7 linked regions of the Cricetulus griseus genome follow. The protein of the gene in region 2 interacts with the protein of the main gene of each other region in a pairwise test. Links are inferred from orthologs where the notes say so. Each region holds a gene or a part of one and is shown on either strand. Other genes may lie near its edges. The genes, in order: Tle5, Prkab2, Adamtsl4, Bend5, cone-rod homeobox protein, Pygm and Csnk2b.

Region 1 (4,359 bases), on a different chromosome or scaffold from region 2:
CCAGGAACTCAGGCCCGGGCTCAGAGAAGGCATCCCTGAGGAGGGCGGGGCCACGGACCCGAGTGGGAGACCATGGGGGGGGGCACACCTGTGCCCTCTCTAAAATGACAAATGCTGGGGCTGTGGCCTGGTAGGTAGCTTCCACTGACCTAGCACATGAAGCTCCACTGGGCCCCTTCTTGACTGTCATCTACTGTTAGCAGCTCAAGGTCATCCTTGGCTACAAAGGGAGCTGGAGGAAGCCTGGACTACATGAGACCCTGTCTCAAAATAAATACCAAAAAGTAAAAATAATAAATTAAAAAAAAATCACAAACCCAAGATTTCCTTTTTCTTGGAGAACTCTGAGTATCTTTCAAAGACTATTACTATTATTACTATTTGTTTTCTGAGACATAGGTTTGCTCTGTACCTCAGGCTAGCCCAAAACGCCTCCATCCTCCTCCTGTGTGTCTGAGAACTGAGTGTTGGGCCGCACCCCCATGCTCACTCACTGTTGGGAGTACAGGGTCAAATGGGGACCCCAGGCCACGCTTTCCCCAGTCCCCTACTTCAGGCTGCTTCTGTGCTGTGCAGCCCTCGGAAATGGCTGAGCTCTCTGGGCTTCAGAGTGATTAGTTTCACACATGAGAAACAGGAAAACAGTTTGTGGGAGCCCGTCAGTTGGATGGTCTGTGGGACACCAGCAAGCTCCCCCACTCCATAAGTGGACAGAAAGAGAAGGAGGGGCTGTGTGGACCTTGGCTGATTAATAACCCTCTCTGGACACCCACTGCAGCCTGTGTTAAAATGAGAGCATCACGCTCTCTGGGGACCCGGCTTCTGAAGCAACACACACTGTGTGCCTCGGTTTCCCCCTCCACACTACGGGGCTGCTGGTTTGGTTTTGGACTCAGGGTGGTATGTATCCCAGGCTGGCCTCTAACTTGCTAAGTAGTTGAAGATGACCTTGAACTGCTGACCCTCAAGCCTCCACCCCCTCCCAGCCTTTCTCCAGACCACAGATAACCCCTACATTCTGGGGGTGCGGCCTTCCTGGCGCGGGCTCACCTGTGGTACTGGGCTTGCAGCAGCTGGAATTCATCTTTGATCCGGTCGCAGGAGTCGGAGGTGGTGAACTTGAGCTGCTGGGGGAGGTGGGAGGAGCCCTGCGGGTGCGGGTGAGGGTGCGGGAGGGTGAGGGCCTGCTTGCCCGCCCACGCCCTACTTCCTGGCTGAGCTCTGCAGGCCCCAGCAGCACTCTCCTAGGAAGCCTGCAGGGGGCTGGGAGGCCCCCAGGCAAGGAGGCGCTTTTACCGTTGGTCATTTTGGGGGGCAGGCACCCCATCCTCCAGCGGCCTCTGAGGGGTCCCCGGGAAGCCCCTCTACGTCAAACAGGACACAGGCCTGCCTTCAAAGCCAGCTTGGAAGATGCACCTAGCTACCACCCCACACTTCCTGGGCGTACCCCCATCACACCTGTTTCCTCAGGGGACTCCCCCCAAAGCTGCCCAGCCCCAGGGGTGCCTCGCGGGGTTCCCCCCAGCCCCAGTGAAAGCCATGGGAGGAAGACAGGCCTGGGGTCAGGGAGGCAGATGGTAAATGTTAGGGTGCAGGGGCGGGCCGAGAGGTGTCCCTGGGGGTGAGGGGATGCACAGGGCTGGCATCTGAGGACACTGGGCCAGGAGTTGGGGTGTAAGGTTTTCGGATCTGGGGAGCACAGTTAGAGTCTGGGGTCAAGGCTGGGAGCAGGGTGGGGGCTGCCGGGCCACCGGGAGCTGGGGTGGGAGGGATGTGCGGGGGGTCGGCGCCTGGAGCTGGGGGAGGGCGGGCGTGGGGGGTCCTCGGGCTCCGGACAGGGGCAGAGGCACAGTGGGCGTTATAAAGGCGCAGGGTCCCCCACACTGCGGTACTGAGGGTGCAGGATGGGGGCTGGGAGGTGGCAGGCCTCTGGGGTGCGAGGCCTGCAGCTGCAGGACACAGGGCCGGGCTGGGGGGTGGCGCTGGGCCCGGATGGTGACGCCAGGCCCGAAAGGGCTCGGGGGAGAGGCAGTGGGTACGGAGCCTATATTCTGGGGTGCGGGGCAGCCGACTTGGGGGCAGGGATGGAAGTGCAGGGCCTTGGACTTGGGGGCAGGCTGGTCTGGGGCCATTAGCGAGCTGGTGCGGAGGGGTGCGGGAGCGCAGAGGTGGCGGTGCAAGGTCTCAGGCTGGAGGACACGTGCGGCCTGGGCTTGGGGTGCTGCAGCCCTGGGCCTGAGCCCCAGGGCTGGGAGACAGGCCGGATGCGGCTGGAGTGGGGTGCGGGGCCCCGGGCTGAGAGACAGGCTGGTCCGGAGTCGGGATGGGCAGGCAGCACGGGGTGGGCTCGAGGCCGGGATCAAAGTTCAGGGGTCCGGGCTGAAGGATGCAGTGCTGGGCCGGTGGGGTGCGCACGGCCTGGGTGGTTGGGTGCAAAGACCCCGGGGACAGCGCCGGTGGGAGCCCCTGGGGCAGGCCCTGGGCGGGGAGACAGGCGGGATCCGAGCTCCGGGGGTTCAGTGAGCAGAGCTGGGGATGTAGGGCGAGCACCGGGGGTGCAGGGCGAGCTCCGGGGTGCAGAGCGCGGGGTCCCCCTTACCGAGTGCCGGCTTTGCGGAAACATCATGTCAGTCGCGGGGGGCGCGGGCTGCGCCCCGGCTCGGGCGGCTCGGGGGGCGCCGGGCGGCCGCGCTTTGTCCCCGATCGGCAGCTCCGGGGCCCCGCGTCCCGCCTCCTGCGCCGCCCGCCGCCCGCCCGCGCCGCCCGCGCTATTGTGTAATGGCGACGCGGTGCCGCCCGGGCTCCCGCTCCACCTGCCGCGCCCGGCACTGCGCAGGCCGGACGCCCCACCCGTGACCTTGGCCCCGCGCGCCCCGCCCCCGCCGCGGCCCCGAGCCCTGGCCCGAAGCCTGCCTCGATCCCCCACTCCACTCTCAGGCCCCAGACCCACAGTCTGAGTGCCCAGACCCCAAGGTGCATTTATGAATCGCCTACGGTGTGCCTCGCCCTCTCTGGAGTGGGGAGGGGAGGCTTGGCACGGCTGGGGGCACGGTGATACCCGTCCCACGGAGGTAGGAAGGGGCCAGGCCTGTCACCACTGACTGAAGTGTACAGGCTGGAGGACCAAGAGTTCCAGGCCAATCTGCGCTACAAAACACCCAATCTCAAAACAGCAACAGAAAGTAAAAGACTTGAGTGATGGTGCAAGGCTTTAATCCCAGTGCAAGGTAGGTTGAGACAGGTGGAAGCCAGCCTGATCTACACAGTGAGTTCCCATACAGCCTGGGCTACATGAGCCTCCGTCTCAAAAATAACAAAAGTTAGAGACCTACTGGAAACAGAGGTGGTGCACACCTTTTAATTCCAGCGCTCCGGAGGCCCAGAGGCAGGCAGATCTCTCTGAGTTTGAGGCTAGCCTGGCCAGGATTGCATGAGCCCTTTCTCAAGAATAATTAAAATAAAAACATAAATATATAAAAGGAAAATAGTTCCCGGGGCTAATTAGTGCCCAACATTTCAGAGCAAGCTGAAGCAGAGGGATTCCTACAATTTCTGGCCAGCCTGAGCTGTATGGCAATTGTCTGTCCCATACTTGAGACAGACCCTGACAAAAGTCGACTGTTATGCACAGGTGACCCACAAAGATCAGAGAGCAGAGGTGCCGGGGCGTTGATGGCACACGCCTTTAATTCCAGCACTCGGGAGGCAGAGGCAGGCAGATCTCTGTGAGTTCGAGGCCAGCCTGCACCCCAGAGCGAGTGCCAGGATAGGCTGCAAAGCTACACAGAGAAACCCTGTCTCGGAAAACCGAGAGAGAGAGAGAGAGAGAGAGAGAGAGAGAGAGAGAGAGAGAGAGAGAGCAGAAACAATAGGCCCAATAGGCCTGGTCCACTAGGATGCCCAGCCCCAGTGAGGAGCTAAGGGGGGGGGGTATGCAGTTGAGGGGAAGAGGGAGCATGGAGACTCTCTGGCCCATAGGACAAGGACAAAGCCCCTGGGACAGAACTCACACACTGGACCCCAGGAGGCAAGGCCGCTGCTCATGGCAGGGCTTCTGGTAACAGTCCCACTGGTGAGTTTGACACTATCTTATTTAATGAAAATAGGGTCACATGTAACCCAGGCTGGCCTGGAACTCTGTAGCAGAGGATAACCCTGAATCCATGCCTCTCCTGTACCAGGCCGGCTTTCCCTATAGCTATCCTTTTGTCCTTTGTCTCACTTTGGGACGTACAGCCCCGGTTTCTTGGTGTCACCCTCTGATTCCAAACAGGCCAGTGTCTTCAAGACTTAGAAAGTCAAATGTCACAGCAGCAGCTGGCCCTGTGTGGCTACATCCTGTCCCTGCTGCCAGGATAG
Region 2 (3,634 bases):
CATGGAGTTGAATATACAGGGTGAAAGTCCTGTTTATTTTTGTTTGGTGTAATACCACTTTCCCCAAAGTCTTTATAGCTGTGCTTGTTCGCTGTAGTAGCAGAGGCACGTTTTGCAAACCATATCCATAGTTACTATCTCATTACTGTATGATGGAGTTGTGCCTGCCTGGAGAATTGCACACTTTCTGCACTGAGCATATGGCCTCTTGCATACAAAGTCTGCCTCTGCTACTTGTTATGCCATCGTGCAACTGACTCCCAGCAGTAAAATTGAGGGCTTGGACCCTCAGTGAGCCTCTGTCATATTGTCTGAAGTAGAGCACATAGCAGAATCTCAAGGACAAGGGACAAATTGTCCATAGCACAGTAACTACCAATTTAGAAAAAAAAAATGTTTCATTATATAAACTCAGAAAGTTATGGTGAGCATTCTTATTGGCTGGAGGGGTGGTGATCTTAAAAGGTTTATATTCTGAGGCCACTAGGACTATGATTATATTATGATCTGCAAAGTAACCAAAGAATATTTGACAGTCAATCATAATTATGTAATGGGAAGACTAAAACACTTTCGGGTTCACCCAGTTTCCTAATCCAGTGATGTAAGGCATAGAATCCATTTATTAGGAATATACAGATAATGGGTGTAGGCATGTACATAACTTTTCAATGTCCTACTTGGATTTTTTAGTGCCATGGACAGCACTTGAAAATTGTCCTGTGTTATTTACCAATGGTGTTTGTGGATATTTAATACAATGTTGTTGCTACTTCTTTCCTTTTGCCTTATATGTTGAAGCAAATTTGAGTTATTAAAATAGACTTACTAAAATCTTTTCTTTGGAACTTTAAAATTGTGAAACAAAGAAAACATAGTTCATTTAATTTTTGTAAATTTAACCTGAATGCTTTTCATTTTTTAAGTAGAATTCCGGTACCATAAAACACATATTTTTTAATTGTAAAATTTATCCTTTTATTTATTTATTTTTTTGATTATTGAATTTTAAAACCCATCTCTTTCTCCTCTCTGCCCTGTGTCAGTCACAAAGCTTCTGCCATATGCATTTGCCTGTTCTGGACAGTTCATACAAATGTAACCATGCACCATGTGGCTTCTTTCATTTAGCAGGCTTCTGGGGCTTTCATCCTTGTTGAAACATGTATCAGTACTTTGCTTGTTTGTGGCTGAATAGAAGTCCACGGTATGACAGTTCCTTCTTGGTTGTCCATCCCTTGTCGACAGACATTTGTTTTCTGCTTGGAGCTCTTACAAATTTTGCTTAAGAACACTCATGGTCAGATTTTTTTTTTTGGGGGGGGTAGCTTATGTTTTATCTTAGGTGATAAACCCAATATTGTAATTACTGGGTCACAAAGTTTCACTGTTTGAGGATGACTATACTGTTTTCCAAAGTGGTTGCACTATTGTTCATTTCTACCAGTGGTGGAAATACTGTAGTTTGAAGCCACAGTATTTGCCAGTGTTTCCCAGTACTTGCCATTTCAGCGGCAGCCATCCCACTGAGTATGAAGTGGTATTTTTTGTGGCTTACATCTACACTTCCTTGACTACAGCTACAGTGTGTTCTGTCTGCTGTAATCATTGTAGACTTAGAGTGTATAACGTTGTTGTCTGTTACTTTGGTAGAAATAAAATGAAATCTAATCTTTTCACATTGAGTTCACAGAGCATCTTTATTTCTACTATCACTTTGATTTTTTTCAAAAGCACTATGACTTGGGAAGATTTTTATCTTGAGGATGAGGAAACTGACCATATTAAAGGGATCTGTCCAAGGACATATCGCTGACAAATGGAGTTGGTTTCCTGGAGCCTAGGTGCTGGCCTCTCATCACTTCCTTACATCATGTTGCCTTGTTGGGAATCTTCCTGGTCCATGTTCAGGACAACTCAGACATTTCCTTTGCTCGCTTACAGTTACAGGCCAGTAGGTCACAAGTCCGTTGCTTCAGGACCTATATTACATTTAAGATTAATGGCTGTGTTGATAGTTTTCCTCATGCGTTATTACTAACCCTTCAACTTTCCTTCACGTTTGCATGAATATTTTTCAGACCTATCCAGCTCACCCCCAGGGCCTTATGGTCAAGAAATGTATGTGTTTCGATCTGAGGAGAGATTCAAATCCCCACCCATTCTGCCCCCTCACCTACTCCAAGTTATTCTTAACAAGGACACTAATATTTCAGTGAGTATCCTGAGCAGGTTGCTAAAGCGTCTGGGGAATCTTAGGACCATTGAGGCCAAACTTCAGGAATCTTGGGGCTGGAATTAGGACCCAGCTTTGTCAAGGCAATGAAATAAGCCATGTGCATGTCAGCAGCACTGTAGAATACTTTTTCCAAGACTGAACTTTAGGTACCAATAGCGGAATTTATAGTTGTTTCTGTTTCTAGTAAAATCAGAACCAAACTATGCTGGAATTAATGTCTACTATGACTTCTAGTCTATCACAAGATAAGGGTACTCTCACTAGGGGTTATACAGAATTCACAACTTTTTATGTAAGTAAATTTTATCTCTATTTTACTTAATTGATGGTTGATTCCCAAACCATCTATACCTGTCAGCAAGGTTTTTGTTTTAATTCTATTAAGGAAAGTTAGCAGATGTTGGGGCTTAGCATTTCACTCTTAGATTTAGGATTTTTCCAGATTTTATGATGTGGGAATACATAATTCATAGGAGACAAAGTGTTACCTATTTAGAGTTCTTAACAGTTCAAAGGAACAGTTAACTTGGTTTTGTCTGCATTTAATCACATTTGTGGGGGGTGGGGCTGTTTTTTCTCCTAGTGTGACCCAGCCTTACTTCCTGAACCCAATCATGTTATGCTGAACCATCTCTATGCGCTGTCCATTAAGGTAAGTGGTGGCCGCGACGCTCCACAGCCTCCCGAGTGGAAGGGTAAGAGTCACACATGCTTTTCGGTGGTAACTTGCTTTCTGCGGCTTTTAAAGCTGCAGTTGACACTGACAGTCAAGTTACAGAAGAGCCGTCTTTTCATACCTCAAGGCTGTTTGATTTTAAACTTCAGTCTCCTTTGAAGCTTCCCCCACCCCTCAGACAGGGTTTCTCTGTGTAATAGCTCTAGCTGTCCTGGAACTTGCTTTGTAGACCAGGCTGGCCTTGAACTCACTGAGATTCACCTGACTCTGCCTCCCAAGTGCTGGGATTAAAGGTGTGCACACCACCACCCATCAAACAAATTATTTGTTTTTGGTTCTGGGCTCAAGCTAGCTGAACTGTCAGTGATGGGGACCTTTCTGCTTCCCAGTGTCTGTGGGTGGCTGGAACCTTTGTACCACCTGTTTACTTAAGTTGGAGTTCAGGTAGTTGGATTCCATGTGCAGAAAATCAGGTATAGCTTCCTTCAACAAGTTCTTGAGTAAGACAGTAGAGCTTCCTAAGATATGGAATCAGCTGCAATGAGATGCCCTGCTTGTGTATACCACACGTTTCTATCGCTTGTATAGTAGATAGGGAGTTGGTTTTACCAGACGTCTATGTTTTTCCCACCCTTTCCCTAGAGTCCTTAGTTTCTCTGTTGCTTTAGTATCTTTGTGGCTTGAATGTTAGCATAAAGGTATGTAGTTCTGTGGCTGGC
Region 3 (4,267 bases), about 2.0 Mb from region 2:
ATATGCAGGTTAAATTTCAAATAAGGTTAAAAATCCTGGCTTATCCCAACACTGTAATCCCATGCTCAGCTGGCTGAAGCCAGAGTTCAAGTTTGGGGTCAGCTTGGGCTACACAGTGAGTTCCCATCAACCTGTCCTATTGTTATCACAGGGCCTGTCTCAAAAACAAACAGTAGCATTCTGCCTTTTTCAGGGCTGGGAATGGAAACTGGGCTTCCTGCGTGTAAAGCTCACTAAGTTACATCCCCAGCCCCAGGACTGTTTTATAGACACACCCATCATCTTTGAGATAGCTCCTGCGTCCACAGAGCCCCATATTAACTCCAAAGTGGTCAATGTTCACTGGCAGGGTCTGTGCTATTAGACTGAGCACTTTCGGGATGGAGACTAACTTCTATGCCCTCAGCAAGAGCTATACAAGAAGTGTTAGGCGGGGCACCAAGGGCCTCTGTTGTTTTGTGGGGTCACAAGACAATGTTGCTAAAACTTCTATATTTGTGTGTTTTGACATTTAGGTTGTGAACCTGGCCTTTAATGGCTGAGTCATCTCTTTAACCTTGATTGGGTGTTTTTGCTTTATTTTTTTAGATTTTTCAAGACAGGGTTTCCCCTGTGTAATAGCCTTGGCTGTCTTGGAACTTACTCTGTAGGCCAGTCTACCCTAGAACTTGCTGCGTTTCCTAGGCTGGTCTTGAACTTGCAGTGGTCCTCCTGCCTCAGTCCACCAAGAACTGAGATTAGAAGCATGCACTACCATGCCCAGTATGTTTTCAAAAAAAATTTACAAGGTTGGACTGATATGGTGGTGTACGACTTTAATTCCAACACTTCCAGGAGCAGAAGCAGGTGGATCTCTACATAGTGAGGTCCAGGTGGCTCAGGACTTAATAGTAGGACCCTGCCTCAAAAATAAACAACCAAGCCAGGTGGTGGTGGCACACACCTTTGATCCCAGCACAGGCAGAGGCAGGAGAATCTAGTGAGTTCGAGGACACCCTGGTATACAGAGTGAGTTCCAAGACAGCCAGACCTGTTACAAAGAGAAACTCTGTCTCAGAAAAACCAAAACGAACAACAACAGCAAAATAAATAAACAAACAAATAAACAAACATCTACCTACGAAAAGACGTACAAGCAGAATATAAATAGAATAAAAAGCATAAAAAGGTAAAACTCTTTCTCATCCCTTCTTCTTCACTCGGGCACTCCTTCTGAGTCATTATTCCACATGAAGATGGACAAACATTTCCAAGCCTAATATACACATCAAAGTCTCCCATTCTACAGACGACACTGCTGCCGCACTGATGTTGAAGTGCTAGTGAAAGACCACAGAGCTGGCAAGCTCTCGAGCTGAAATTCAAATCCAAATTTGTCTGACTCATAATTCAACGTGCATTCCTTCCGCTAAGCTCCGGGGTGTAAAATTTTATGGATGAAGAAACCGAGGCTCACAGACATCCTCGGCCATCAGAGCCACACGGTTCACTGCCCAGCATGGGAAAAGAGGAGGAGATGGCACGGGCTGCGTGGAGGAGAGGGCCTCGGCTTCGGTGGATCTCAGCTTGAGGAGGGCCACATGGGTCCAGTTTGTAAATCCCCCTTGCCCGTGCTCTTCGTGTACAAGCTCCACCCGAAGGCTGCTCTGACAGGGTCGGTGGGGTCCCAAACCCTGGGGTGGGGGCGGGAACGATGCCCGCATGGCCTCTAGCCGTCGGGGGCCGGCGCGTGGCGGGCGGGGCGCGGGCGGCACGGGGAGGAGCCTGCCGCGGGCGGGCGGCGCTGTCCCCGGGCTCCCGGCCCTGGTGGCGGCCGAGGAGGGCAGCTGGAGAGAGCGGGCGCAGAGAAGGTAGAGCCTCCCCGACCCCCGCCTGGGCTCTGATGGTCACGGAACAGCGGACCCTGGGCCGAATTCCTGGGGAGGGGGTCTGGTCCCATTACCCGGGCGAGGGCTTGAGCCAAGATTCCTATTAAGTCACATAGTGAAGTTGGAAAACATACGGGACCTCCCTGCAGCCGGCGCCACCCGCTCCTCCCCGAGGGGCTTCGGGAGGATGCACCCCTACGCCTGACTCCGAGAACGCAGGGATAGGGTGTCCGGGAGGGATGCGGGTGGGGCTCTTCGCACAGCACAGCCTTTTGGGAGAGGTTGGGGGGAAAGACAGACACCTGTTGGGATGGAATTCTAACAGGACAGCAACTCCCCTTTGCCAGTCCAGCCCTTACTAGCGCTCCTTTCTTCCTAGCTCATTTGCCCGAGGCGAGCCCAAGGGTGAAGGGGTTAGCTCCATACAGGTCACTTTCCTTGCTGTCAACGGCCCAGTGTGGGGTGTGAGCAGGAGCAGCCTAGGCTGGTCCTTACCAGAGTCCACCTTGACTTCAGGGTGGCCACCTCCAACTTCTGTCTTCCTCACCCTTGGCACAACAAGCATGCATTTGTGCCGGGAGGGGGAGTCTCCTGCTTCCCTATGCAGGGGAGGGTGGGGTGGACTTTTCCAGAGAGGGAGCCAGGCCTGGCCCTGGCCCCAGGAGCTCTCATCACCCCCCACCCCTCACTTCTCCAGGGAGCTGCCAAAGCCAGCTCAGGACAGGATTATGTGTACTGGGTAGACCACGGAGAGGCAGCAGGGACAGACCTGGGGGAGCAGAGAGAAGCAGGAGGTGGAGAGGGGACCAGCATCGGACAAGAGAGAGACAGGTGGTGCCCATCACTCCTTCTTCCAACTTCGAGGGGTTGAACATGGCTCCTTTTCCACCAGGGCTGTTGTGGACCTCAGTGGCTGGCCCAGCAAGGGGAAGGAGAGGGCTCAGCCACTTTGTTCCTGTCTTCAAATTCCCAAGTTCTGGGGTCCCGGGAGTGGGGGTTTGGCTAGCTTTTGCTTTCCCTCTGTTCTTTGCCTGCCCTGAGCTGGCCCTGTGTTGGCCAGCAATGCTTGGATTCCTCTGGTGGTGCCATTTAGATCCAACAGAAACAGTGTTTTTCCTGGAAAGCAGAGTTGAGATGGGATGAGGGGTGTGGGTGGGAAGGGCCTCAAAGAGAAGGAGGGGGCTGGAGGACAGGGCCTTGGGAGAGACAGGCTATGGAAGCCCCTCTCTACAGCATTCAAGGCTAGACTTCAGGGTGGACTTCCCGGGTATACCAGAAGGCGAAGCTGGTGACTGGGAAGGATGAGCAGCTATGGCTGCATCTCTCTCCTTCCTAAGTGCCCAGCCATTTTGGCTGAACATCGGAAGAAAAAAAAAGAAGAAGAAGAAAACTAGCTGTACATGAACTAGGTTGCCACGAGCCAAGGCCTCGTGGATGCTGGCACCCACAGGGAGGTTAAGTCACCGCCTCTTCTCTAAAGATGAAGCCATTAGCCCACTTAGTTTATCCCTTGGACAAAAAAGTGCCTGTGGTCACCCAGATGTGCCTGGCTGTTCCTTCATAAGGAGCTTTATCTAAGAGAGGGAGAAAGGTCTGGGAGGCAGGTAGGAAACAAATACTCGGGTTTTTTATTTTTATTTTTACTTTTTTTTTTTTTAAGGGGGAAAGAGTTTTTTTTGTTGTTGTTGTTGTTTTTGTTTTTTTGTTTTTTTTTTTTTTGAGATAAGGGTCTTGCATCACCCAGGCTGGATCTTCTGCTCCCCGACTCAAATGGTGGGATTAAGGCTTTTGCCCCCACACTTGGTGTCAAGGGCCCTCTGGTACCTCATAGGGGTACCTGGCATAGCCTGCCTCCTCTAGGTCCTGGAGCTCTGGGAGGAAGAACCTCCTGGTTCCCCCTTCCTCCACCCTGCCCTTCCTCGGGCCTCCAGAGGAGCTAAGTCCATCTTGGGCCACAGGGAGGGAACTAAACTGAACTGGAAGGCTGAGGTCAGACCCCCACCCTTGACTCAGCAGATGACAAAGACAGTGTTCCTTATTGCTCCCACCCTTAGGTCCTAGAGGGGTGGACCAGTTTTCCCTCCACTCTGCTGGTGCTGTGCTGGGACAGCCCTTTAGTCTTCCGGCAATCTGCAGGGGTAACCACTGTGCTTCTTCCTCAGAGTATCCTCCGTGCCCAGATGCCAGAGTAGCTAACCTGCCCCTGCCTCCCAGCCCAGGGGCAGTCAAGGGAGAGCAATGGAGACCTGGCTGGGCAGGTAAGAGCAAGGGCTGTCAGTCTCTAATAGTAAGAGCAGGGAAGGGGCCCGGCAGTTGTGGCACACACTTTAAACTTGGGAGGTAGAGGCAAGTAGATCTCTGTGAGTTTGAGGCTAGCCTGGTCTACAGAGAGAGTTTCA
Region 4 (3,634 bases), on a different chromosome or scaffold from region 2:
GAGGGTACAGTGATTTCTTGGCTTTCATCATCCCTCTGGCTGTCTCTCTTCTAGGAAGCTCGAGATGGTGTTCTGATGTGTGCGCTACCCAAATCAAACCGGATACATTGTGGTTGCATTTAATTTCTTAAAATCCTAGGTGTTCTGAGCCAGAGAGATGAACTTTGAGATGAAATCCAAGTCTCCCACTTCGTAGATAGGGACGCTGCAGTTTGAGCTGGAGAAGGACTCACCCAACTCCACGCCTGCTGGCTGCAGAGCCAGGCAGCTGCTCTGCTCCTGCCAGCTGGCAGAGATTTATAACTTAGCTCTAAATTGGAACTATCTAGGGAGCTAAACCATCCTGGTGTCTGAGCCACACCCAGACCAAACAATTCAGAATCTTGGAGAGGAGGCCTGGGCACCAGGGAATGCTATAGCTGGGTGAGTCCTGCAAGCAGCCTCCACCATGTTAGCAGGGGGTGAGCCTCAGAATGTGCAGGTAGAAGAGGGTCTAATCTTTCTAGCGTATAACATACACACACGAGCACATAATACACTGAGATGGGTCAGGCTCAGAGCACCCATGTGATAATAGCACGAATCCCAGATGTGCCACTCATCAGTTGAGTGACTTCTAAAGTCACTTCACATAACTGAACTTGCTCTTCCCATCGGAAGTGACAAGTGTATCATAGCACCTTCTGTTTAGGAGAGTGAAGTCAGAACTTTAGAATAAGGCCTGCTACATTGCAAGAGCTCTGTAAGTGATGCCGTTATTGCCTCTTTGGCATGATCCCTTAGAGTGGAGAAGTAGTGTTTTTAAAGGACAAGAGCAGCCTCCGGCTGCCTTCCTGTGGGACTAAACAGGTGTGGTGTTATCTCTTTCAGGTTCATCTGGGAAGCGGGATTTGGGTTGATGAGGAGAAATGGCACCAGCTACAAGTAACCCAAGGAGATTCTAAGTACACAAAGAACTTGGCAGTCATGATCTGGGGAACAGATGTTCTGAAAAACAGAAGTGTCACAGGAGTCGCCACAAAAAAAAAGAAGGATGCAATCCCGAAGCCACCCCTCTCTCCTCACAAGCTAAGCATCGTCAGAGGTAGCATACCCAGTGGAAGCACAATGCTGGACATCCTGTCCTTTGCTCTGTCAGAAATGTATTGTTTCAATTTGGTGAATGCTTACTGAAGCCCCTGTATGCCAGACCCCCAGTGGGACACAGGAGCATAGAGGCAGACATCATAGCTGCCACCAGAGATCTCACACTGGACAGGACAAGTGAATATGGACACAAATATAGCTCAAGGGTGTAGCATACCATGCAAGAGGGACAGTGTTTGTGCTGGGAATTGTCAGGAAGGGAGGATGCCCCTCTGGAAAAGCTGGGGAGAATCCCAGGGAGAGAAGGTTGCCGAATAAGGGCCTTCAGTGCTCCTCAGCAGGAGATGGGCTGAGAGTGCAGAGGTACCTCGGGAGGCAGAAGTGTCTTGAACAGAGGAGTGCAGATGGGAAAGGGGTGTGTCTACAGAGCAGTAAAGGTCAAGGCTGGGGAAACTTCTTATTTTAGCCGTGTCTAGAACAGAGAGACAAGCAGCAGTTGATAGTTGATACAGGTTCCTTCCTGGTGTTGGGGAAGGCGGGCAGAGAGCCAGGGAGTCTTGTCACCCAAAGATATGGTGTTACCCCATACTCCTTATCCATTCATCTTCCCTGCCTCCCTCCTCCTTCCCTTCCAGCCTTCTTTCCCTTCCTCTTTCCTTCCTCCATTTTCTTACCTTCTCACCCTCTTCTTTCCCTTCCCCATCCATTCCCTAAGTTCTTACTCTTTTCTAGACCCTCTCCTGGGTTTTGAGAACACAAAGGACAAGACACAGAGAGCATCTACAAGGAGCTCAGTCTCATGAGGAATGTATATATATTATAACAGTACTGTAGGTCAGAACAAAGTAAGGAGTATAGTATAAGGAGAAGAGTGAATATAGTAAGTGCTAATTATTCTGAGTAATTGTTGTAACCCATTTTATTAAAATAATATCTGTACTAAGCAGTTTTAAATATATTAACTCACTGTGCTCTCAACACCCCTACTGTTGGCTGCTGTTACTATTCTTTTCACCGTTAAAGAAACTGGGTCACGGAGGTAGTGGGCACATTTTCCCAGGTAATAATAGGAGGAGGAAATCCAGGAGGACAAGGGCGGCTTTGGAGTCTGTTCCTAATCATAAATGGCCAGGTCTACCACATTTCAACGAAGAAAGTAAGACACGGGTGAATGTCCTGTTTGAGCAGGTCCTACAGTTGAGCACATTTTGGGTCCCAATGACAAATGTAACTATGATGCAGTCAGGCTGCTTTGGGTCCTCTGAGCATCACACAAGATGTGATGGGACAAAGGGCCGCATCAGCTCTGTTTGGGAAAAGGCCTGTTAGAACAGATGGCGTCCAGCTGGGAGTTAGGCTGGAAAAGGCAGCCTGTGACAGGTGGAGGAATGGTGGGTCAGGCAGAATAGGCTGCAGGGCAGAGGCCAGCACACTCAGGTGAAGTGGCTCAAGTGGCTTTGCAGTTGTGAGTGAGGCCAGGGAGGTGAGTAAGAGCCAGTCTGACAAGGAAGTGAAAGGAATCGTAGGCCCCTTGGGTCTGCAGAGATCCCAAAAGCCATCAGTTGGTGGAGTGTCCCCTGGGAAGATCAAGGAGAGCCAGCATTGTCACAGACTAAGGTTGGGAAATGTGCAGTTATATTGTATGTTCTGGAGGTCAATGTGGAAAGACACTGTGTGATTATGCAGCTAAGCTAAGGCCACAGCTATAGGGTGTCTGAGTCTGGATTCAACCCCACATATTCTCACTCTAGTCTGTAGCCTTCCCCATGTAATACAGGTGTCTCCCCTCCTGGTTAGCCCATGATTAATTGAAGAAGGCAGCCACTTATTTTTAGATAATAAGAGAGAACCTTTAGTTGGCTGATGTCTACAATGGTGCAGCTTTATTCAGGAGGCCGTCCTGAGAAAGGCCTTCTCCGGAAGGCAGCCCTGTTTCGCCCAGTCAGTGCCAACCTCCAGCTGTATGCCTTGTCAGGGTGTGACCTAGCAGGTCCCGGGTACCCTCAGATAACTGTCATGTTTGGGTCTGAGATTAACTGCCAGAGTCTGCCTCTGGTACAAGCAACTGTAGCTGACTCCCCCGTGTTCATTGCCAAGTGCAGTACCAGCCCTGAACAAGGCTTGAACACATGAAGCCCTGAGATGTTGGAACTGATCCTGCCCCACAATAGATCTGACTTTTCACTTTCTCTCTTCAGATAATATGAATCTTTAGGCATTTACTAATCATTTCCCCTCTTCTTTTGTTGCCTTGCCTGAAAACCTATGTGCTTCATCTTGGTTTTTGGTTTTTGAGACAGGGTCTTACTGTGTAGACCAAGCTGATCACAAGCTCCTAGTCATCCTCCTGCCTCCAGTGCTGTCTGTTACACAGCCCCTGTTAATAAAGGTTCTGCACAGCATTTCTTGCTTATTTGATAATTACCTTTCTGTCTCGTCTCCATTAGAAGCTCAGCTTTAGGAACATCTTGTTCAGGGTTCACATACAGGAAGCATTTAAGAGTACTGACCTTTCCCCTGGGGCCTCCAGCCCTCTGTATTCCCTCTT
Region 5 (4,113 bases), on a different chromosome or scaffold from region 2:
CAAATAAAACAAAACACACACACACACACACACACACACACACACACACACACACACACACACACAAACACACACACAAAAACAAAAAACCAAGGTGGGAACTGGGGACGTAGCTTATTAGGTAGAGTGTGTGTCCGAGCATTGGTGAAGACCTGGGTTCAGTACCCAGCACCATATAATCCAGGTATGGTGGTGCTGACCTGTGATTTTGGCACCCGGAAGGTGGAAATAAGAGGATCGGGAGTTCAAGGTCATCCTCAGGCACTTAGTAAATTTAAGGCCAACCCGAGGTATATAAGACCTTTCAAAAATAAAATAAACTAATGAAATGAAAATATGAGGTGGCCTGATGGACAAATTTGGGGTTGAATTTTGGCCTCCCCTCTGCTTCTATACACATACCTGCCCCACACTTGGAGTGATGGCTAATGTCTAGAGTCTTAGCACTTGTGCGGTGGAGACAGGAGGGTCAGAAATATCAAATCAACCTTGGCTAGTTTAATGTCAGGTCAGCCCGCAACAGGAAACCCTGTTGCACAAAACCAAAAAGAACCCCCCACCCCACCCCTGCCCTCCAGACAGGGTTTCTCTGTAACAGCTCTGGCTGTCCTGGAACTGGCTCTGTGGACCAGGCTGGCCTTGAATTCACAAAGATCCACCCACCTGTGCCTCCCAAGTGCTGGAATTAAAGGCGTGTGCCACCACCACCTGGCAAAACATTTCTTTTCTTTTTGAGTTGGGTATTGTGGCCTTGTCTACAAATTGAGAGCCGGGAAGGGTGGTGCATACTTTAATCCCAGCACTCTGGAGGCAGAGGTAGGTAGGTGGATCTCTGAGTTTGAGGCCATCCTGGACTATAGAGTGAGTTCCAGGACAGCCAAGGCAACCGAGGAAACCCTGTCTCGGAAAAACAGAACAAAACAAACAAACAAACAATTAGGAGTTCCAGGACAGCTAAAGCTATATTCTAAGGTCCTGAAACTCACTCTGTAGACCATGCTGGTCTTGAACTCACAGTCATCTGCCTGCCTCTGTCTCACCAGTGTGAGTGTTTAAGGAATTAAATGAATGTACCATAGCCAACACTTGGATTCTAAAAAACGAGAGGGAGAAAGAGAAAGAGAGAGACGAGATTGGATTACTGGTGAGAATGGTTCCTGAGAAGAGCCCCTGAACAGGATGTGAGTATCAATTTGTCAGTGCCCTGGCAGTGGGAAGAGTGAACACCCCTTTCTCTTGTAGGTGCCCCCATCTGGGTCCCAGTCACAGAAGATCATGATGGCGTATATGAACCCGGGACCTCACTATTCGGTCAATGCCTTGGCTCTGAATGGCCCCAGTGTGGACCTGATGCACCAGGCAGTCCCATACTCAAGTAAGTGTGCTCCTCTTCCCATCTCTGTCTTGTTTTTCCATCAGTCTGTAAAACTTTATTTCTAAAAGAAGTGAGCATTCTAATGACCACGGTACTATCTTTTCTTTGTCTCCGTCTCTTATTTTTGGAGTAGAGCTTGTTGGGCTGGAATCCAGGGCTTTCTTGGATTCTAGGCAAGTACTTTACTATGGAGCTGTGAGTCACCCTCACTGGGGGGTTTTAGGCATGTGCTTTTCCACTGAGCCACGCCTCCAGCCCTTCAACTCTGGGATTCTAAGCAGGGGGCTCTACCATGGAGCCACACCCCCAGCCTCCTGGTTCAGTCTCTAGAGGCCTGGGATTATAGTCCTGCACCATCATGCTGTACTATGGTACTTATTTAACAGTTCTCTTTTCTATTTCTTTCTTTTTTTTCCTCCTTCGTTCATTTTTGAGACAAATTCTCACTATGTAGCCATGGCTGGCCTGAAACTCACTATGTAGACCACATTTTTTTTTTCTTTTGTTTTGTTGAGACAGGGTTTCTCTGCAGCTTTGGAGGCTGTCCTGGAATTAGCTCTTGTAGGCCAGGCTGGTCTTGATCTCACAGAGATCTTCCTGCCTCTGTCTCCCGAGTGCTGGGATTAAAGGCAGGAGCCACCTTTTTTTTTTTTTTTTTTGTTTAGAGAATAAAAAAACGATTGCATGAGTTTTTGCATGCAGGATGGAAAGCAGGAGCCACGGCTGTCTTGCAGAGGTCTGAGATGACTTTTGGGAGTCATTTCTTTCCTTCTACCTTGTGGGTCCCAGGGACTGAACTCAGGTCTTCAGGCTTGTACATAATTGACACTGCAGTCTTGCTAGCCCACCTTCTTTCTTTTATATTGAGTCATAGAGACATCGCTTTTATGGGCTGAAGTGCTTGGTTTTTAACAACATGTTTCTACCGAATGTGTCTTTCTTTCTTTTTTTGTTTTTGTTTTTTTGAGACAGGGTTTCTCTGTGTAGCTTTGGAGCCTATCCTGGCACTCGCTTTGTAGACCAGGCTGACCTCGAACTCACAGAGATCCGCCTACCTCTGCCTCCCGTGTGCTGGGATTAAAGGCGTGCGCCACCAATGCCAGGCCTTTTTTTGGTTCTTTGAGACAGGGTTTCTCTGTGTAGCCTTGAAGCCTGTTCTGGAACTCCCTTTGTAGACCAGGATGGCCCCGAACTCTGCCTCCGGAGTGTTGGGATCAAAGGCGTGCGCCACCACTGCCTGGCCATGAATATGTTTTTATGAATAATAAGGTTCAGGAGCGGAGTCTGGTGCAGTGGCTCCTGCCTGAACTCCCAGCTATTTGGGAGGCTGAGGTAGGAGGACCAGGCAATCCCAGGATTTTAGGGTCGGTATGGGCTACATAGTGTAATGAAAGAGAAGGGGAGAAGAGAGAGGAAGAGGAGGAAGAGGGCGGAGGAGGGAAAGGAGGTTGGAGAGAATTGAGAACAAAAAGGGGCAAATCCTTGCAGGGCTAAAAGCAGTTCCCTCCTGTGGACATTTGACTGGAAAGCTCTGGAGACTTGAGCCGGTGCTAGAAGGCCGGGGAATAAACACAGCCCCTTGTCTGGGCAGAAAGGACAGGGCTGGTGTCCCACTGGATCAGGGCATCCAGCGAGCAGACCCAGCTAACCTGAGGGTTCTTTCATTCTCCCAAACCTAGGCGCCCCTAGGAAGCAGCGGCGGGAGAGAACCACGTTCACCAGAAGCCAGCTGGAGGAACTGGAGGCCCTGTTCTCTAAGACCCAGTACCCGGATGTGTATGCACGCGAGGAGGTGGCTCTCAAGATCAACCTGCCTGAGTCCAGGGTCCAGGTAGGATGTTCTGGAACTCTGCTGCTTTACTGTGATCTCTCTCTCTCTCTCTCTCTCTCTCTCTCTCTCTCTCTCTCTCTCCTTTTTCTTTTTCTCCTTTTTCTTCTTTTTCTTCTTCTTCCTCTTCCTCTTCCTCCCCCTCCTCCTCCTCCTCCTCCTCCTCCTCCTCCTCCTCCTGTTTGAGACAGGGTTTCTCAGGAGTCTATCCTGGAACTCACTTTGTAGACCAGGCTGGCCTTGAACTCAGATCTACTTGCTTCTGCCGCCCAAATGCTGGGAATAAAGGCGTGTGACATCACCGCCAAGTCCCTTACTATGATCTTCGATGGGTCCTTATTAGATCCAGAATGAGTGGAGGAAAGACAGGCCACAGAGTAACAGTCACAATTATGAAGTAGCAGCCGGGCATTGGTGCCGCACGCCTTTAATCCCAGCACTCGGGAGGCAGGTGGATCTCTGTGAGTTCGAGGCCAGCCTGGTTCCAGAGCGAGTGCCAGGACAGGTTCCAAAGCTACACAGAGAAACCCTGCCTCGAACCCCCCCTCCCCACCAAAAAAAAAAAAAACAAAAAAACAAAGACAGGGTTCTCAGTGTCCTGGAACTGACTCTGTAGACCAGGCTGGCCTCGAACTCAGAGATCTGCTTGCCTCTGCCTCCCAAGTGCTGGGATTAAAAGAGTGCCACCCCTGCCTGGATTTTTTTTATTTGTTTTTAATCTTAAAACTATATTTTGTTTTCCATGACTGGGTTTCTCTGTGTAACAGCTCTGGATGTCTTGGAACTTGCTTTCTAGACCCAGGCTGACCTTGAACTCACAGAGATCTGCCAGTCTTGCTGTCTCCTGAGTGCCAGGGATTAAAGACATGCCCTACCACCTCCTGGCTAAAATTATTTTGAGGCAAGGTCT
Region 6 (4,064 bases), on a different chromosome or scaffold from region 2:
CAGTATGCGAGCTGCAGATAGAGCTGAAGTCTAGAAGGGATTGCCTGAAGGTCTAGGCTGTGGAGGTGAAACGGAGGAAAGGATCCCTGCCCGCTGTATAGCCTGGGTGGGAACAGGAGGAGAGAAAGCGTCCAGTCGCCTACCCACCTGCCAGTGGATCATGGGGAGAACTCGGTGCTGGGATCCAGGGCTTGGTTAGTTTGTTGGGGTTGGTGGTGCTAGAAAGTGAGCACAGGGACCAGGCAAGTGCTCTAACCCTGAGCCATATCCCAGCCCTCTTTGTATTATGAGATTGTATCTCAGTGATTTGCCCAGGCTGCCCTTGAGTACTTGTAGCCCAAGCAAGCTCCTGGCTAGGTGTGGTAATGCACACCTTTAGCTCAAGCACTTGAGAGGCAGAGGCCAGATGGTCTCTGTGAGTTTAAGGCTAGTATGGTTTACATAGCAAGTTTCAGGATGTCCAGGGCTACAGAGTGAGACCCTCAAAATAACTAATAGAAAAATAAAAAAAAAATAGGATAAGATTTGAATTTATGGTCCTGCTGTGGCTGAGACTGCACAGACTGATGACACTTGGGGGAGTCACGAACTGGTGGGGAATGCTGTCTCACTCTTGCAGACCCACAGGACTATAGTTCCCAGTAGCCCCTGCTTCAGGCTGCTTCCTCAGACAAAGCTGTCCTGTAACCCGACTATCCCTCTTGAAAAGGTCACTTCAGAGCTCCTTGAGAGACAGCAACAGGAGGAAGCTCAGAGCACTGTGCTTTGGTGGGGGTGGGGTGAGCGCAGTGGCCCTCTATCTTAGGCATGCATCCTTCCACACAGCACTCCCTGCAACCCAGGGTCTTGGTCTCTTTACTTTTTGAATTTATTTTATGTGCATTGGTGTTTTGCCTGCACATGTGGTCTGTGTGGGGGCTGCCATGTGGGTTCTGGGAATTGAACCTGTGTCCTCTGAAAGAGGACCCCTGGCTTCCCTTTTTCACAGCTGCCCACCCTCCTCTGAACTAGCAGCACCTCTCTGTTTAGCGCACATTCATTCTCAACTTGTGGCTCCTCCTCTTGCCCATGCACATGACTTCCCCGCCTGTGTGCAGGTGTCCCAGCCAGGTGAGTTGTGGCTTTGACCAGCTCTACAGAAGCAGAAGTCCTTACACTCTAGACAAGTGTCACAAGCAAGCCTGCTGCTCTGAGGGAAGGAAAATGTGTCTGGCACTTGTGACAACCCCTTGGCCTTTTTTTTTTTTTTTTTTTTTTTTTAAGTTTTCGAGACAAGGTTTCTCTGTGTAGCTTTGAGGACCAGGTTGGCCTTGAACTCCCAGAGATCTGCCTGCCTCTGCCTACCAAATTCTGGGATTAAAGGTGTAAGCCACCACTGCCTGACTCCCCTTGGCCTCTTTAAGGAGGGTCCACAATCCAGTCCTACCTTTAGTCTATAGCTCAGGAAAGAGTCTAGATTAGATATGTCATAGACAAGGTCTCAACCAGAATGTTTTAGGCATGCCTCGTCCCGCTCTCCAATCCTGTCTCCAATCCTCCAAAAGCAAGGGGCCAGAAGACAAGGCCAGAGGCTTAGGAAACCTAGAAGTGGGTCAGCTGTGAACACGCCCCTCCTTCCTCCCTCCCTCCCTTCCTCTCCTCCACTTGCCCCCAAAATAGCTCCCTGAGCTTCAAGGCCAAGACCCTCCCATGTCCGGGGAGGCGTGTCATGCTGCCCTGAGCCAGGCTTTAAATCCCCTCACAGCTGAGCAGCTCCACTCCCTGGCTGGAGGCACCGAGGCCGTCAGTCTGTCCAGTCCCGTCTGCCTTCCTGCAGCCATGTCCAGACCTCTTTCAGACCAGGATAAGAGAAAGCAAATCAGTGTTCGCGGCCTGGCCGGCGTGGAGAATGTGTCTGAGCTGAAAAAGAACTTCAACCGACACCTACATTTCACCCTGGTCAAGGACCGAAATGTGGCCACCCCCAGAGATTACTATTTTGCTTTGGCCCACACCGTGCGGGACCACCTCGTGGGACGTTGGATCCGCACACAGCAGCATTACTATGAAAAGGACCCAAAGGTGCTACAGTAGGGGACACCCTGCGTGGGAAATGAGCTGGGAGTGAGGCCTGGATGTGAGCTGTCCTTTCCTGAAGCCCAAGTTTTCTACAGCAAGCTAAATTGCTGTTTTAACCTCCCTGGGGTTGGAGGATCCAGGGGTGCTGGACAGAAAGAATACTGAGGAGGGAGCCCCGGGGTGCTCAGGGTAGGCAGGCTGCTTACATATGTGCCAGACAAGGTTGGAGGGGGTTGCTGGTGGGCATGAAATGTATCCCCCTGTCACCCAGTTTGGACCTGGCATGGAAGGACATGTCATCAAATGTGTGTATGGCACAGTCTGCTTGTGCCACAGGCAGGGCACTGCTGGGGCAGCTGGGGCAGCAGGTATCAAATGTCTGGTAGGGTCACTGGTAAATGTCAGGAACCTAAAACTCCACAACAGGAGTGGGGGAGGGGCAGGGAGGGACCCAGGAAACGGGGAGACTGGGCACCCTCAGCATCTTTATGCTTCTGTTCATCTCTGGACGGAGGCTTGAGTTGAAGGAAACAACCGTGCATGGACAGGAGATGGCAGGTCTAGCCCTGAGTCACCATGTGACCTTGAAAATGACTTTTTCCTCTGGGCCTTGGCAATGCCTTCTGGGGGAGCACTCAGAGGTGCTTCTCAATGTCCTGACTTCCTGATGGGTTACATTAGGAGGGGTATGTACCTCGGAAGGAGTCCCTGCTTTTCACTAGCACCTTAATCCCTGAGATAGGCCTCCGCAGCCTCTTTCTCTGGAAGAGGAAACCGAGGCCAGATGAAAAGGCATTTCAAAGGCATGTAGGGACCAGTGCCTTTCTTGTCTACTGGACCCCCAAATCTGAGTGGCTCTTCTGAGCAGGGAGAAAGGAATTGGTGGCAGAGATGAGTCATGCTGGGTCTTGGCAAGTAAGACAGGAGGAGGCTAAGAGGTTCAGAGGCAGCTGTGCCTGGCTGAATGTCAATGGGTGGCCCTGATCCCTCTTCCCTGTCTCTGGGCAGAGGATCTACTACCTGTCTTTGGAATTCTACATGGGACGGACGCTTCAGAACACTATGGTGAACCTGGCCTTGGAGAACGCCTGTGATGAGGCTACTTACCAGGTGGGGGAAGCACTTAAGGTTGGGGGTTCCCATGCTGGCACTTTGGCCTGACCGCTGCCACCCTTCTCTCAGCTGGGTTTGGACATGGAGGAGCTGGAGGAGATCGAGGAAGATGCAGGGCTGGGGAATGGCGGCCTGGGGCGCCTGGCAGGTGAATACACAGCTTGTGGGGGTGGGGTGGAGCAGTCAGTCCCTCTTGTTAGATTCCTGATACCCACTTCCTGTACCCATAGCCTGCTTCTTGGACTCCATGGCTACACTGGGACTAGCTGCCTATGGATATGGGATCCGCTATGAATTTGGGATTTTTAATCAGAAGATCTGTGGGGGCTGGCAGGTGAGCAGCCCTGACCCCAGCCTTGGGGTCCCTCACTTGGTTATCCACCTCTGGATAGACTATGAACCCACTCCAGCTCTCCAGACAAACATTCTTGCCTCTTGCCTCAGAGCCAGCTGGTGACCCCCCCAGAACAGGTGGTCCACCCCTGTGGAATGCTTAGGATATACTGTGTCCTGCTGAGTGGCTCACCAAGCCAGGACACTGTTCCTGCGCTGTTCCGCCACTCACAGGACGTGAGTCCCCACAGCTCATGCTGTCTGTGTTGTTCCCATTGACCCTCTAGATGGAAGAGGCTGATGACTGGCTTCGCTATGGCAACCCTTGGGAGAAGGCCCGCCCTGAGTTCACGCTGCCTGTACATTTCTATGGCCGAGTGGAGCACACCAGCCAGGGTGCCAAATGGGTGGACACACAGGTGAAGAAGAAGAAGATGGGTACAGGTTCTGGGGGGGACTTAGTGAGAGGCAGAAGGGAGGAGAGCTCCTAGAGAAAATAGGACATGGAAACAAACTGAAGGTTCTTGAATCTACTGTCATTTTACAAAGGAGGGCACTAA
Region 7 (4,144 bases), about 170 Mb from region 2:
AGAATGTTCCCCCAGGCACTTGTCTAGGGGCCCTGCGTTCTACTCCCTTCTCCCTTCAAACAAAAACAGCAGGCTGTCTCTGAAAACCTTTTCCCACCCTGTAACACATACCGTTAGGGAATATCGGCCGGGACTTTTAAATCTTGCTCGATCTTACGTGGGGCTGGGGGGGGGTGTCTCCTTTTCCCAAAGAAAAACAGGCGTGACATCATTCCAGAAGGTGTCGGGGTAAAAGCGTTGCACTGTCACTTCCGTACCGAAAAATGGCGCTCTCGTCATCTGCAAGAGTTGACACAATCCGACACCCACCTGGCACAGAGACGCATGCGCAGCAGCCAACCACAACAAAACACCCACAAGGTTCAGTTTCCCGCGCTGGAACCTTCCCAAGCATCCGCGTCAGGCATCGCGTGCCCAGACAGCGCGAGGGCCCAGGGGGACCTGTCGGTTGGGGTCCTACTTTTACATAACGCCCCCACAATGCTCTTCGCCACCCTCGACGTGGTCCCTCCCGCTCCAAGCCCCTCTTGTGGAGCCGGGAGGCCTGAGGACGCCAGGGAGCCGCGGGATGCCGGGCAGCCGCGAGACGCGCTAACACCACGGCGCCCCTCACCGCTACTCCGAGCAGGGCTCGAAGAGCAAGCAGCTCACGTGGGGTCCGCAGCAGCAGCAGCAGCAGCAACAGCAGCAGCAGCAGCAAGCAGCAGCAACACATGGAGAAGTGCAAAGGGATGAGCGGCAGAATGGCAGGCGCCACCTCAGGTTAGCGCGCGGGGCGGTGCAGCAGGTCCCCCGCCCCCGCCGCCCGGCTCGGCAGCCCAAGCCCTGCGACCTCAGCCCCGCACTCCGAGCCGCACCTCCGGGCCGCATGCCTGGTCCTCGGCGACGGTGTCAGTCCCCGGGGCGGCAGGGACGACCGGAGCGGGACGGAGCGGGCGCGCAGCGGGGACCTCAGCGGCCGCCGGCGCCGGCTCGCAGCCTGCCGAGCCCAAAGCGCGTAGGACTATATTTCCCAGGCTTCCCGGTCGGGAAGGCGGCTGTAACCTGGCTTCCGCTTCCGGTGGAGGCTCGGCTCGCCCCGCCCCCAGGCGGCTTCCGCTAGGGCCTCGCGACCCCGGAGTCATGCGCGCGGACTCTTGGGATTGGTGGTTCGCCGTCCCCGCATCGCGTCACTTTCTGCCTCTCTACGGGACTCCATTTCCCGGCGTCCCTAGGGGCAGGGGCGGTCCTCGGCGCCTGCGCGTTGCCCTCTCTCCCTCCCCACCCTCCCCAGTTCCCCTTCCCCCCTCCCCACTTCGCCTGCCGCGGTCCGCTCGGCTTCCTGCGCTGTAGCGGTCGCTGCGGTTCCTTCGAAGCTCGGCTCCCCTTCCCCGCCCCAGTCCCAGTCCCCGTCCGGCCGGTGAGTCTGCGCTCGTCCCCGCGCCGCGGCGCCGGGCTCCGCGCTCCGAGATGTGGGGGCGAGGAAGGAAGGGACCGGGTCGGCGGCCGAAGGAGGCCGGGTGGCCTGAGGAGAGGAGCGGCTGTGGGGACGCTCGTGGGTCCCGCGGGGGTGCGGGGCTCCCGCCGGCGCCGCGAGGCCCCGAGAGGCGGGCTCGGGGGGGAGGATGGACTCGGGAAGCCTCGGGACGGGCGCCAGGCGAGTGCCTCGGTGGGGCCGCGCGGGCCGCGCGCGGCCGGGGGCCGGGGGGCCGGGGGGCCGGGGCCTGGCCTCGCGCCGGGCAACACCCACAGATCGGGACCTGTCACCCCCTGGGAAGGAGTGGAGCTGGTTCTCACCACGCTGTCGGGGGGCTGAGGTAAAGAAGAGAGGCGTGGAGAGCGGTGCTTCACGGGCCGGGGCCACTCAACGCCAGTGGCCTCGGATTCCTCCGCCGTTGAGGAGACCGTGTGTGTGGGAGGAGGGAAGAGACCAAGAAACAGCCTGGTCTCCACTTAACGCCCTTCTTCCTCAGCCGACGTAAAGATGAGTAGCTCTGAGGAGGTTTCCTGGATTTCCTGGTTCTGTGGGCTCCGTGGTAATGAGTTCTTCTGTGAGGTGAGTTTAGCTGGCTTTCTGGGCCCTCTCCACGTGCCCTCGGTGTTTTCGTTGTATGTTGTCTGAGATGAGATTTCCCCCGAAGCTGACTGTGTAGCCCAGACTGTCCTTGAACTCCTGGCAATCCTAGTGCCTCAGTCTCCTGAGCGCTGGGGTTCACTCTGTGCATGGCTAACAGAGGTATCGCTGGTGACCGTCAGGAAAGTTAAAATGTTTCATGTAACATGAAAACCACAGTGTGGTAACGTAGGAAATGATCAATGCCTGTGAGAGTCTGATGTCCCAGAGCAGAGAGCAAACCCGGGTCCTTTAGAGGAGGGAGACAAGTTGAATAATGCGCTGTACCTTGTTGGCCCGGAAAGAAGAGAGCTGCGGTTTCTGTGGGAGACGGAACACCTCTGCAGAAGTGAGAATAGGAAACAAGGGGAGCCGATGCGGTCGTTTGTCTCCTGGGCCAGGTGAAAGACGGGGCTTCCCACACTAGTTTCAACCTCTTGACTCCCCTGTCCCGGTAGGTGGATGAGGACTACATCCAGGACAAGTTTAATCTGACTGGACTCAATGAGCAAGTGCCTCACTACCGGCAAGCTCTAGACATGATCTTGGACCTGGAGCCTGGTAACGTGCCTGCCCCCAGGGCCGTCGCTGCGTGTGGGGTCCATGATATGTGCACTTGTGTGTGCTTTGGTTTCTTCTTATTCTGGTCTCTGCTCGCTTGCTTCTTGAATTTTTCTCTTTTCTTTTTCGGTTTTTCCAGAAGGGTTTCTCTGGCCTTGAACTCACAGAGATTCACCTGCCTCTACCTCCCGAGTGCTGGTGTTAAATGCATGTGCCACCACTGCCCAACCGCTTCTTGAATTTCTAAATTTCCTTTTGATTCTCTAGCTCTTCTGTCTATTCCCGAGTCTCTTGCTCGCTTGTTTGTTTGTTTATGTGTTTTCTCCCCCACCTCTCCTCTCCATTCATAACCCAAACTGGACTTTACCACTTGCTCTTCCTGCCTTGGCCTCCACGTGCTGGGTTTTGTATGGCACATACACCACTGCCTGGCTTCTTCATTATTTTGATTCCCTACCTGACCCTTGCCTTCAGGGACTGGTAACATTTGTTTCCATGCTCTCCAAATGTAACTCCACTGTCTCTCACAATGCCAGTCTTCTGGTGTGTTGTGTGCTGCTGCTTTCCTCCTGCTGGTCTAGAGTGCCACCCTCTGCAATTATGTTTATGTGTTGGGAAGGGGAAGAAGCTGGCAGAGACTAGAGAGGTGTGGAGAGAGGGCAGTGCTGATGGCCTGGGTGATGGATAGGGTGTGTCAGAAACAGGTGCTGGATAAACTGTAGGAGGCCACCTTGGGGATAAGGTGGGGTACAAGTGGCCATCCCACCTTTCAGATGAAGAGCTGGAAGACAACCCCAACCAGAGTGACCTGATTGAACAGGCAGCGGAGATGCTTTATGGGTTGATCCACGCCCGATACATCCTCACCAACCGAGGCATCGCCCAAATGGTGAGGCTCTGCTCCTGCTTCTGAGGCAGTGAGACAAACAGGTGCATGAGGCAGAAGGCATGTTTCGTACCTGTCAAGAAGTCTAGCAGAGGAGACGAGGAGAAGCCCAGAGCTGGGCTGAGAATCCAATCCTCACTGAGGGTCCTACTGAAGGTATTGTTTTCAGGGAGGGAGATGAGGCCATGGATAGGGAACAGAGAGAGCAAATGGCCCTTGTGTTCTGCAGCCTGCCAACTTGAGGAAAGCAGTTGAGAAGGAAGCTTGAGGACCTGTCTTGACAAAGAAGGGCTTCTAGTTAGAGGTGGGAGGCCTGGGAGGTGGGGAAGTGAGGTGCTCTGCACACGTACTCACCAGTCCCTTCCATTTTGCACACCTCAGTTGGAAAAGTACCAGCAGGGAGACTTTGGCTACTGTCCTCGTGTGTACTGTGAGAACCAGCCAATGCTTCCCATCGGTGAGTGTTGGAGAGGGGAGAGGAGGGCACTACTTGCCAGTCAGGTTGATGTGGTCAGTGCCTGAGCCCTGTGGGAGGGTGGGAGGACTTGGGGTACCTGGTCTTCAGGGTCTGGCTGTGTCCCAGGCCTTTCGGACATCCCAGGCGA

What was found.
Region 1: the proteins of Prkab2 (region 2) and Tle5 interact in binary tests that used the Homo sapiens proteins (3 or more experiments, as listed by UniProt). The two-hybrid records come from large-scale screens. The link is inferred for Cricetulus griseus from reciprocal best matches to the Homo sapiens genes PRKAB2 and TLE5.
Region 3: the proteins of Prkab2 (region 2) and Adamtsl4 interact in binary tests that used the Homo sapiens proteins (3 or more experiments, as listed by UniProt). The link is inferred for Cricetulus griseus from reciprocal best matches to the Homo sapiens genes PRKAB2 and ADAMTSL4.
Region 4: the proteins of Prkab2 (region 2) and Bend5 interact in binary tests that used the Homo sapiens proteins (3 or more experiments, as listed by UniProt). The link is inferred for Cricetulus griseus from reciprocal best matches to the Homo sapiens genes PRKAB2 and BEND5.
Region 5: the proteins of Prkab2 (region 2) and cone-rod homeobox protein interact in binary tests that used the Homo sapiens proteins (3 or more experiments, as listed by UniProt). The link is inferred for Cricetulus griseus from reciprocal best matches to the Homo sapiens genes PRKAB2 and CRX.
Region 6: the proteins of Prkab2 (region 2) and Pygm interact in binary tests that used the Homo sapiens proteins (3 or more experiments, as listed by UniProt). The link is inferred for Cricetulus griseus from reciprocal best matches to the Homo sapiens genes PRKAB2 and PYGM.
Region 7: the proteins of Prkab2 (region 2) and Csnk2b interact in a two-hybrid assay, tested with the Homo sapiens proteins (2 studies listed by BioGRID and IntAct). The link is inferred for Cricetulus griseus from reciprocal best matches to the Homo sapiens genes PRKAB2 and CSNK2B.

The regions. Positions count from the first base shown.
Region 1 is NC_048598.1:102,308,279-102,312,637, reverse strand, and holds the start of Tle5 (TLE family member 5), read right to left. Parts: upstream 2,804-4,359; 5' UTR 2,627-2,803; coding exon 2,600-2,626; intron 1,149-2,599; coding exon 1,051-1,148; intron 1-1,050. UniProt on the Homo sapiens protein: Transcriptional corepressor. Acts as a dominant repressor towards other family members. Inhibits NF-kappa-B-regulated gene expression. May be required for the initiation and maintenance of the differentiated state.
Region 2 is NW_023276806.1:58,812,419-58,816,052, reverse strand, and holds part of Prkab2 (5'-AMP-activated protein kinase subunit beta-2), read left to right. Parts: intron 1-2,081; coding exon 2,082-2,215; intron 2,216-2,822; coding exon 2,823-2,891; intron 2,892-3,634. UniProt on the Homo sapiens protein: Non-catalytic subunit of AMP-activated protein kinase (AMPK), an energy sensor protein kinase that plays a key role in regulating cellular energy metabolism.
Region 3 is NW_023276806.1:60,816,832-60,821,098, forward strand, and holds the start of Adamtsl4 (ADAMTS-like protein 4), read left to right. Parts: upstream 1-1,427; 5' UTR 1,428-1,654; intron 1,655-1,730; exon of another isoform or gene 1,731-1,850; intron 1,851-2,565; 5' UTR 2,566-2,699; intron 2,700-4,030; 5' UTR 4,031-4,106; coding exon 4,107-4,126; intron 4,127-4,267. UniProt on the Homo sapiens protein: Positive regulation of apoptosis. May facilitate FBN1 microfibril biogenesis.
Region 4 is NC_048595.1:38,521,277-38,524,910, reverse strand, and holds part of Bend5 (BEN domain-containing protein 5), read left to right. Parts: intron 1-870; coding exon 871-1,084; intron 1,085-3,634. UniProt on the Homo sapiens protein: Acts as a transcriptional repressor.
Region 5 is NC_048602.1:10,446,580-10,450,692, reverse strand, and holds the start of cone-rod homeobox protein, read left to right. Parts: upstream 1-1,248; 5' UTR 1,249-1,275; coding exon 1,276-1,375; intron 1,376-3,054; coding exon 3,055-3,206; intron 3,207-4,113. UniProt on the Homo sapiens protein: Transcription factor that binds and transactivates the sequence 5'-TAATC[CA]-3' which is found upstream of several photoreceptor-specific genes, including the opsin genes.
Region 6 is NC_048596.1:52,970,619-52,974,682, reverse strand, and holds the start of Pygm (glycogen phosphorylase, muscle form), read left to right. Parts: upstream 1-1,261; 5' UTR 1,262-1,689; coding exon 1,690-2,061; intron 2,062-3,066; coding exon 3,067-3,168; intron 3,169-3,240; coding exon 3,241-3,319; intron 3,320-3,401; coding exon 3,402-3,505; intron 3,506-3,791; coding exon 3,792-3,923; intron 3,924-4,064. UniProt on the Homo sapiens protein: Allosteric enzyme that catalyzes the rate-limiting step in glycogen catabolism, the phosphorolytic cleavage of glycogen to produce glucose-1-phosphate, and plays a central role in maintaining cellular and organismal glucose homeostasis.
Region 7 is NW_023276806.1:231,642,881-231,647,024, reverse strand, and holds the start of Csnk2b (casein kinase II subunit beta), read left to right. Parts: upstream 1-1,250; 5' UTR 1,251-1,399; intron 1,400-1,952; 5' UTR 1,953-1,963; coding exon 1,964-2,035; intron 2,036-2,550; coding exon 2,551-2,653; intron 2,654-3,426; coding exon 3,427-3,542; intron 3,543-3,920; coding exon 3,921-3,996; intron 3,997-4,122; coding exon 4,123-4,144. UniProt on the Homo sapiens protein: Regulatory subunit of casein kinase II/CK2.